Linked DNA regions of Macaca fascicularis. The protein of the gene in region 1 purifies or fractionates together with the protein of each later gene. This does not show direct contact. Links are inferred from orthologs where the notes say so. Each region holds a gene or a part of one and is shown on either strand. Other genes may lie near its edges.

What was found. Proteins that work in one complex are often made in the same cells at the same time.
Region 2: the proteins of CAMLG (region 1) and TNFRSF13B purify together in Homo sapiens (affinity purification with western blotting; 3 studies listed by BioGRID and IntAct, with this or other methods). This does not show direct contact. The link is inferred for Macaca fascicularis from reciprocal best matches to the Homo sapiens genes CAMLG and TNFRSF13B.

The regions. Positions count from the first base shown.
Region 1 is NC_088380.1:141,281,665-141,285,886, forward strand, and holds part of CAMLG (guided entry of tail-anchored proteins factor CAMLG), read left to right. Parts: intron 1-358; coding exon 359-819; intron 820-4,222. UniProt on the Homo sapiens protein: Required for the post-translational delivery of tail-anchored (TA) proteins to the endoplasmic reticulum.
Region 2 is NC_088390.1:17,064,491-17,069,169, reverse strand, and holds the start of TNFRSF13B (tumor necrosis factor receptor superfamily member 13B), read left to right. Parts: upstream 1-1,383; 5' UTR 1,384-1,388; coding exon 1,389-1,449; intron 1,450-4,679. UniProt on the Homo sapiens protein: Receptor for TNFSF13/APRIL and TNFSF13B/TALL1/BAFF/BLYS that binds both ligands with similar high affinity. Mediates calcineurin-dependent activation of NF-AT, as well as activation of NF-kappa-B and AP-1.

The DNA of each region.
Region 1 (4,222 bases):
TCCTGCCTCAGCCAGAGTAGCTGGGACTACAGACAGCTGGGACTGCAGGCACATGCCACCACACCCAGCTAATTTTTGTATTTTTAGTAGTGACGGAGTTTCACCATGTTGGCTAGGATAGTCTCAATCTCTTGACCTCATGATGCGCCCACCTCAGCCTCCCAAAGTGTTGGGATTACAGGCGTGAGCCACTGTGCCTGGCCGAAACCAGCTTTTCTTTAATGCAGAATCAATATTTATTTATTTTGATTCAGAGACTGCTGAGTTCTAGCTGCAACAGCATATTTTAAAACATAAACATGTAAGGTGTTTGCCAGTATGTAATAAATACATAAGGCTTTTAAATTTCTTTTCTCAGAAGAAGAAAGTCAAACAAAATCAAAGCAGCAGGACAGTGATAAACTGAACTCCCTCAGCGTTCCTTCAGTTTCAAAACGAGTAGTGCTGGGTGATTCAGTCAGTACAGGAACAACTGACCAGCAGGGTGGTGTGGCCGAGGTAAAGGGGACCCAACTGGGAGACAAATTGGACTCTTTCATTAAACCACCTGAGTGCAGTAATGATGTCAACCTTGAGCTCCGGCAGCGGAACAGAGGGGACTTGACAGCGGACTCAGTCCAGAGGGGTGCCCGCCATGGCCTAGAGCAGTACCTTTCCAGATTCGAAGAAGCAATGAAGCTAAGGAAACAGCTGATTAGTGAAAAACCCAGTCAAGAGGATGGAAGTACAACAGAAGAATTTGACTCTTTTCGAATATTTAGATTGGTGGGATGTGCTCTTCTTGCTCTTGGAGTCAGAGCTTTTGTTTGCAAATACTTGGTAAGAAAAGATCTGTAAATTATTAACTAACTTAATGGAAAATGCAAAATGTTAATAATTATGAGTGCTTTTGACCCATAGAAGTCATTGCCAAAATTAATATCTACCGGATCCATGTGGCTGTTTGAAGATACATTATTAACTTTGCTATTCATCTTATAGAATGAAGTGTTCTGGTTAAATACAGAGCCTAATAATTATTGTTGGTCCTCCATATCAGTTGGTTCTGCACCCTATGTGGATTCAACCAACTGTGGATTGAAAGTATTTGGATTTAGCCGGGCGTGGTGGTGCACGCCTGTAATCCCAGTTACTTGGGAGGCTGAGGCAGGAGAATTGCTTGAACCCGGCAGGCAGAGGTTGCAGTGAGCCAGGATAATGCCACTGCACTCCAGCCTGGGTGACAGAGTGAGACCCTCCCTGTCTCAAAAATAATATGTATGTGTATATATTTGGGGAAAAAATAATACAATAATAACAAATAATAAATAATACAAATAAAGGCTGGGCGCGGTGGCTCAAGCCTGTAATCCCAGCACTTTGGGAGGCCGAGACGGGCGGATCACAAGGTCAGGAGATCGAGACCATCCTGGCTAACCTGGTGAAACCCCATCTCTACTAAAAAATACAAAAAACTAGCCGGGCGAGGTGGCGGGCGCCTGTAGTCCCAGCTACTCGGGAGGCTGAGGCAGGAGAACCGCGTGAACCTGGGAGGCGGAGCTTGCAGTGATCTGAGATCTGGCCACTGCACTCCAGCCTGGGCCACAGAGCGAGACTCCGTCTCAAAAAAAAAAAAAAATAAATAAATAAATAAATAATACAAATAAAAACAGTATAACAACTATTTACATTGTATTAGGCATAAAAAAATCTAGAAATGATTTCAAGTATATGGGAGGAATTGAGTAGGTTATATGCAAATACTATGCCATTTTACATAAGGGACTTGAGCATCTATCAGGAGGAACCTGGTACCAGTCCTCTGCAGATACTGAGGGATGACTCTACTGAAACCCTTTTTTCATGCTACGGACCCTTCTCATTGCTTTGCGTATATTAATTCATCTAATCCTCATTCTTATGAACTTGGTATTATTTGAATCCATTGGGAAATGAAGACTCAGAGAGGTTAAATCATTTGCCGAAGGTCACACAGCTACTAAGTGATGCTGGGATTAAACCTTAGCAGTTTCATTCTTTAACCAAAGGGTTAAGTGCTTTACATATATATATATACTGTATATTATCAATTTTCAAATAATTTGAAATAGTAAAATGCAGTTCCTGTGGTCCTGAATATGAGGTAAATTTCCTATGGTTCAGAAGACATTTCAGCATTTCTTTTTTTTTTTTGAGACGGAGTCTCGCTCTGTCGCCCAGGCTGGAGTGCAGTGGCCGGATCTCAGCTCACTGCAAGCTCCGCCTCCCGGGTTTATGCCATTCTCCTGCCTCAGCCTCCCGAGTAGCTGGGACTACAGGCGCCCGCCACCTCGCCCGGCTAGTTTTTTGTATTTTTTTTTAGTAGAGACGGGGTTTCACCGTGTTAGCCAGGATGGTCTCGATCTCCTGACCTCATGATCCACCCGTCTCGGCCTCCCAAAGTGCTGGGATTACAGGCTTGAGCCACCGCGCCCGGCCAGCATTTCTTAATGTAGTGTCATAATGAGTCCATTTTGGTTGTACCATGATGTGGTTATTTTGTTTTACAGTATATTGAAGAATACAGAAAAGCATAGCTCATAGTTCAGTGTCTTGCACTGAGGTTTTTCCATTCAGTAGACATTTTAGGTATATGTACCAGGCACATAAATAAATTATCCAGATAATTAAAGTTTATATCATTAAGCAAAACAGTTTTTTTTAATCTTTTTTTTTTTTTTTTTTTTTTTTTTGAGATGGAGTTTCTGTCGCCTAGGCTGGAGTGCAGTGGTGCAATCTCGGCTCACTGCAATGTCCACCTCCTGGGTTCAAGTGATTCTCCTGCCTTAGCCTCCTGAGTAGCTGGGACTACAGGCACGTGCCACCATGCACGGCTAATTTTTTGTATTTTTAGTAGAGACGGGGTTTCATCGTGTTAGCCAGGATGGTCTCGATGTCGTGACCTCGTGATCTGCCCACCACTGCCTCCCAAAGTGCTGGGATTACAGGCGTGAGCCACCGTGCCTGGCCTAAAATCTATTTTTATGCAGATGTTTTCATAAATAGAACCTGTTGAACAGATTTTATTTGTTTTTCCTTGATAATAACTTGTCAACATAGTTTGCTATAATGCAAAGATCGGTGATGCTTTCAGCATTTAATGAGCTGCCTCTTTTTTGTCTCTATCTGAAGGGCTCTGTGCTTTCATGCTTTTAATGTTATGCCTATTTTTGTGTGAATTTTTTTGTTTTGGTTTTCTGGGTTTTGTTGCTATCAGAGTTTCAACTGTTTCTTACTGCTGTCACCATACTGCCATCTAGTAACGTTTGCTCCTTCACTCACTTCTTAATGGTTTCATTTTAAAAGTAGTTATGAGGGGCTGGGCACAGTGGCTCATGCCTGTAATCCCACCATGCCCAGCTAATTTTTTAGCAGAGATAGGGTTTCACCTTGTCAGCCAGGATGGTCATCTCGATCTCTTGACCTCGTGATCCGCCCATCTCTGCTTCCCAAAGTGCTAGGATTACAGGCATGAGCCACCATGCCCAGCCAAGCATTTAGTTTTGTTGTTGTTTAAAACGTTTTAGAGATAGGATCTTGCTGTGGTGCCCAGGCTGGACTAGAACTTCTGGGCTCAAGCAGTCCTCCTGCCTCAGCCTTCTGCATAGCTGGAAGAATGCCATCTATTTTGAGTGCTGGGCCTTGTCTGTGTGCTTCCTGGATGTCAATTAATTCCCTCTGGGTGACGGAGATGTTACTGCATGATGTGTTAAACATCTGTCACTATTTAATACTTTAAATAATTTAAAAGATGAGTTTTTATGAGAGAAGACAGTTTTGGGGACACTAAAAGAATGTGAAAGAATTGTATGACCTGAGAAACATATTTTATGTTAGGAAATCAAATCTTTTATTTTCTTCACCCTTCTGAGGAAACAAGATTACTTTTAACCATTAAAATTACTATTTTATGGGAGACTGAGGCAGGAGAATTGCTTGGACCCAGGAGGCAGAGGTCACAGTGAGCCGAGATTGCGTCACTGCACTCCAGCCTGGGCGACAGAATGAGACTCCGTCTTAAAAAAAAAAAAGTAATTGCCAGGCGAAGTGACTCACACCTGTAATCCCAGCATGTTGGGAGTCCGAGGTGGGTTGATCACATGAGGTCAGGAGTTGTAGACCATCCTGGCCAACATGGTGAAACCCTGTCTCTACTAAAAATACAAAAATTAGCCAGGCATGGTGGCGGGCGCTTGTAACCCCA
Region 2 (4,679 bases), on another chromosome or scaffold:
TGGACATTTTCCGTGTTTGCTGACCGTTTGCATCTCCTCTCCTGCTCTGTGCTCCATCACCCTGCTCCAGCTGCTTCCCGGAGCCTCCTTCTTTACTCTCCACCTGCCCGCGTCCTCCTCGTCTTTCAGTTTCTTCCTAAGGGCCCATGGGCTTTCTTTGGTTTTTACGTTCCTCTCACTCTGCCTTTGGCTGTTTCTGGGCCTCCCATCTCCTGGGAGGTTTCAGAGGATGGGGAAGACACAGGAGTGTAGTCGCCATGCAGTGCAATATGGGCTGTAGTGTTCATCCTCCATGGCCTTTATTGAGGACTTACTGTGTGCCAAGAACCTGCTCTAAGAACGTAACTGTGCTCCCTCACTTCATGCTCATAACCACTTGTGAGACGGGCAATGTTCTCATCCTTTTTTTTTTTTTTTTTTTTTTTTTTGGAGATGGAGTCTCTGTTGCCCAGGCTGGAGTGCAATGGCATGATCTCGGCTCATTGCAACCTCCGCCTTGCAGGTTCAAGCCATTCTCCTGCCTCAGCCTCCCAAATAGCTGGGACTACAGGCACAGACTGGGACTACAGGCCACCACACCTGGCTAATTTTTTTGTTTTTTGTTTTTTGTTTTTTAGTAGAGATGGAATTTCATCATGTTGCCCAGGGTGGTCTCGAATTCCTGAACTCAGACAATCCACTCACCTTGGCCTCCCAAAGTGCTAGGATTACAGGCGTGAGCCATCAGGCCCGACCTCATCCTTGTTTTACACAGAGAACATGGAGGCACAGAGGAGTTCCATAAATTGCCACCAAGGCCTTCCACTGGTGTGCAGCAGAGTCAAGATTCAAACCCAGGCTGTCTGGCCCTGGGGTCCAGCCTCTCCAGTGCTCTGCTAGGTGCTGGACAGGGTCAACGAGACACAGAGAATGAGCACCACCTGACAGACTGGGACAGTCAGGGACGGCTTCCTGGAGGAGGTGACACCTCAATGGAGCCTTGAGGGAAGAGCAGGAGGGGCTGACCAGGCAATGAATAGAATAAGTATAACCAGGAAGAGGGAAAAGCCTGAGTGTTGCTGGGAGGCTGGAGAGCTGGCCTGGCTTGGGGTGTGTGCCAGGGGGGCAGGACCAAGGGATGGCCAGGGCCAGATCTAGAAAAGCCTGGGCCATCCCATAGTCAATACCTCATCGCAAGGCCCGGCAGGCCTTCCACTGCTCTGTGTGTACCCCATGGGACGCCAGGAGCCTGGGCTGCAGCCACCCACCTGGGCTCCTTAGACCCAGTGCACAGGCATGGGGGCGGGAGTGGGTGTGGCTGATTTACATCCAACAGGTTGAGGGGAAAACCCAGGAAGTGCAGCCCAGGCACTAATCAAATCTAAGACTAATAATAAGCATCCTGAGTAATGAGTGGCCTGGGCCGGAGCAGGCGAGGTGGCCGGAGCCGTGTGGACCAGGAGGAGCGGTGTGAGTAGCCGGGCAGGAGGGCAGGAGGGCAGGAGGGCAGGAGGGCAGGTGTGAGGTGTGAGGAGGGTTGGGCCTCAGTGCTGTGGGGGTTGGCAGTGTCTGGTGGGTGCAAGGCCCACAGCAGATCCACACACTGGGGCAGTCCCAGCCTCCCAAGCCCCGGCACATGGAGAGCCCTGGATCTGGATGCCTCTGGGGTGTGGGGCTTGCCTTCCGGGAGAGAAGCCATCGAGGCTGCAGGGTTGGCCACACCAGCAGGAATTCCCTTTGTCACCACGGCCCTCTGGACACCCCCTATTTTCCCCCTTACATGCCCGCTGGACCATTTTAATGCTAATCTCAAACACCAGATTGTTTGATTTGTAGAGACCACAGGATCTATTCCTTAAGAACACAAACTCTAAAACCAAAACAAAAAACGAAGCATCATACCATCACCCCTGCTGAAACAACAATTCCTGAACATCATCACATAGCCCGCCAGGGTTCAAACTGCCCCGACTATCTCATCTATGTCTTTCTCAGTTGATTTGTTCAAATCAGCCTGGCCCACATTAGACTTTTGGCTATGTTTTAATCTATAACAGTTTCCGCCCATTTTTTCCTCGGTTATTTATTTGTTGACAAAATTGGACTATTTATCCTATAGTTTTTTTTTTGTTTTTTTTGAGACAGAGTCTTGCTCTGTCACCCAGGCTGGAGTCAATGGCCTGATCTTGGCTTGCTACAACCTCCGCCTCCAGGGTTCAAGCTATTCTCCTGCCTCAGCCTCCCAAGTGACTGAGATTATAGGTGCTCACCACCACGCCCGGTTAATTTTTTGTATTTTTAGTAGAGATAGGCTTTCGCCATGTTGGCCAGTCTGGTCTCAAACTCCTGACCTCAGGTAATCTACCTGCCTCAGCCTCCCAAAGTGCTGGGATTACAGGCGTGAGCCACGGTGCCCGGCCCTTATAGCATTTTTATCAGAGTGAGTTTCTAAGGTTTTATGAAAGGGCCCCAGGTCCGTCACTGTGCAGACAGAACCCATGGCCAGATGGACCGGGGCACAGCCTAGATTCACAGCCTCTCCCTGCTGCTCTGTCCTACACCCCAGGCAGGGAGCAAATCTGTTCTCCCATCCTCTTTTGTGTCCAGCCACCATGTCCCCAGAATCTACCAAGTCAGGGGCTCAAATACATAAAGTTTCTGAGAGACTTGGACAAGGCAGTGACCAGAGGCTGCCTTGACACAGGATGAAATTGCCCAGGCCTCTGGCACCACGAGTCAGGACGCAGCTAGAACTGTGACCTGGCAGTGGCAGCAGCTGTCTGGTGCTGCCGAATCAGCCCTGAGCCACTCTGGGACCTTGGCTGAGCCGCTTCCCCTCAGTGTAAAATGAAGTAGACTGTCTTTCCTACCAGACATCCCTCAAAAACACAACAGTGCTTTGATGAAACTACCAGACCCCCTCTTGGGGAGTCACAAGGAAAGGCTCTGAGAAGACCTGCAGTTAAAAGAAATGCCTTGACTTTCTTTAACCCAGTGTTTTTCAAACTAATTTGATCACAGAGATCTTTCTTGGTATAGCACCTGTTAACCAGCCAAGCACGTGAGGAGGGACAAGCAGAGGGCTCTGATAATCACCCTCCTTGGCTGCTGTCTGGTCTCGGGATGCAGGAGAGAGTTTCCATCTTGCATCCAAATTTGTGGCGGCCCAGAGTGTGAGCCCAGCCCACAGAGCTAGTGTCAGATAGGAGTTCCCTTTCTTCCCTTTCCGTCAATGGAGCTTCTCTCTCAAGCTTCTATTCTGCCTGGCTGGTGTCAGTCATGGGGTTTTCCCACCCTCCTTTGGCACTTGATGATGGTTCTGGGATTTTATGTAGGTCCATATGGTGGTAGAGGAGGGGGCAGGGACAGGCCCACTGGTCAGCTTGGCATCTGCCATCTGGTCAGTCAGGCTCCATCTCTCCTTCAGGTCCAGTGGCTTTGGTGGCTTCCAGGCAATGAATGGGTCTTGGAACCTCTCCAAAGCTGCCCTTGTCACATAGAACCTCCTGCCCACCTTCCACTCAACCAACCCTTCACGGTGATATGCGGTGGGTGGCGGCTTTCTCCCTCTTTGCTCTTCCACCCAAATATGGGGAGAATCAGGGGTCTGTCTTTAATTTTGTTTGATCTTTTGATTTTAGATTTGCTTTTGAATAGATAGTATAGTCAGATGGTTTGAAACCCAGAAAGTATTGAAAGATATATAATAGAAAGTCTTTTTTTCTCCTTGTCCTCCATCTGCCAAGTTCCCACCTCCCCTAGAATAAGTAGCTTTATTTACATATAACTTACATGCCGTGAAATTCACCTGTGTAAAGTGTACAAGTCTGTGTTTTTGGTATATTTACAGAGTTGTGCAACCATCCCCGTAAGCTAATTTTAGAACATTTCGATGACCCCAAAAAGAAACTTTGTCAGTCTTCATTCCTCCCTAGCCCCAGGCTAATCTACTCTCTGTCTCTATAGATTTGCCTATTTTGGACATTTTCCATAAATGGAATCATATGTGGTGTATTGTGACTAGCTGTTTCCACTTGGCATAATGTTTTCAAGGGCCGTCCAAGTTGTAGCAGGTATCAGTACTTCCTTCAGTTTTGTGGCTAAATCACATTCCATTTTATGGATATATCATGTGGCTTATCCAGTCATCGGTGGATGGACATTTGGGATGTTTCTACTTTTTGTCACTGTGATTATTAACAATGCTTCTATGAACTTTTGGGTTTAAGTTTTAAGTGAACATGTCTTCTTTTCTCTTAGACGGATACCTACAAGTGGAATTGCTGGGTCATATGATACATTCTATGTTTAACATTTAAAGGAACTGCCAAATGCTTTCCAAAGTGGCTGCACTATTTTATAATTCACTTCAGGCACGAAGGTTCTGATTTCTCCACGTCTTCACTGACGCTTGTCATTGACCGTCTTTCTCATTCTAGCCATCCCAGGGGGTGTGAGGTGGTATCTCACTGTGGTTTGGATTTGCATTTCCCTAGTGACAAATGATGTTGAGCATCTTTTGCATGTGCTTTTTGGCCATTTATATGTTTTTTGGGGGAAAATGTCTATGGAAATAGTCCATATAAAAATTGGGTTATTTGTCTTTTCATTATTCTGTTATAAGCATTCTTTATATATTTTGGATACAAGCTCCTTATGAGGTATAAGATTTGTAACTATTTTCTCCAAGTTTGTGGATT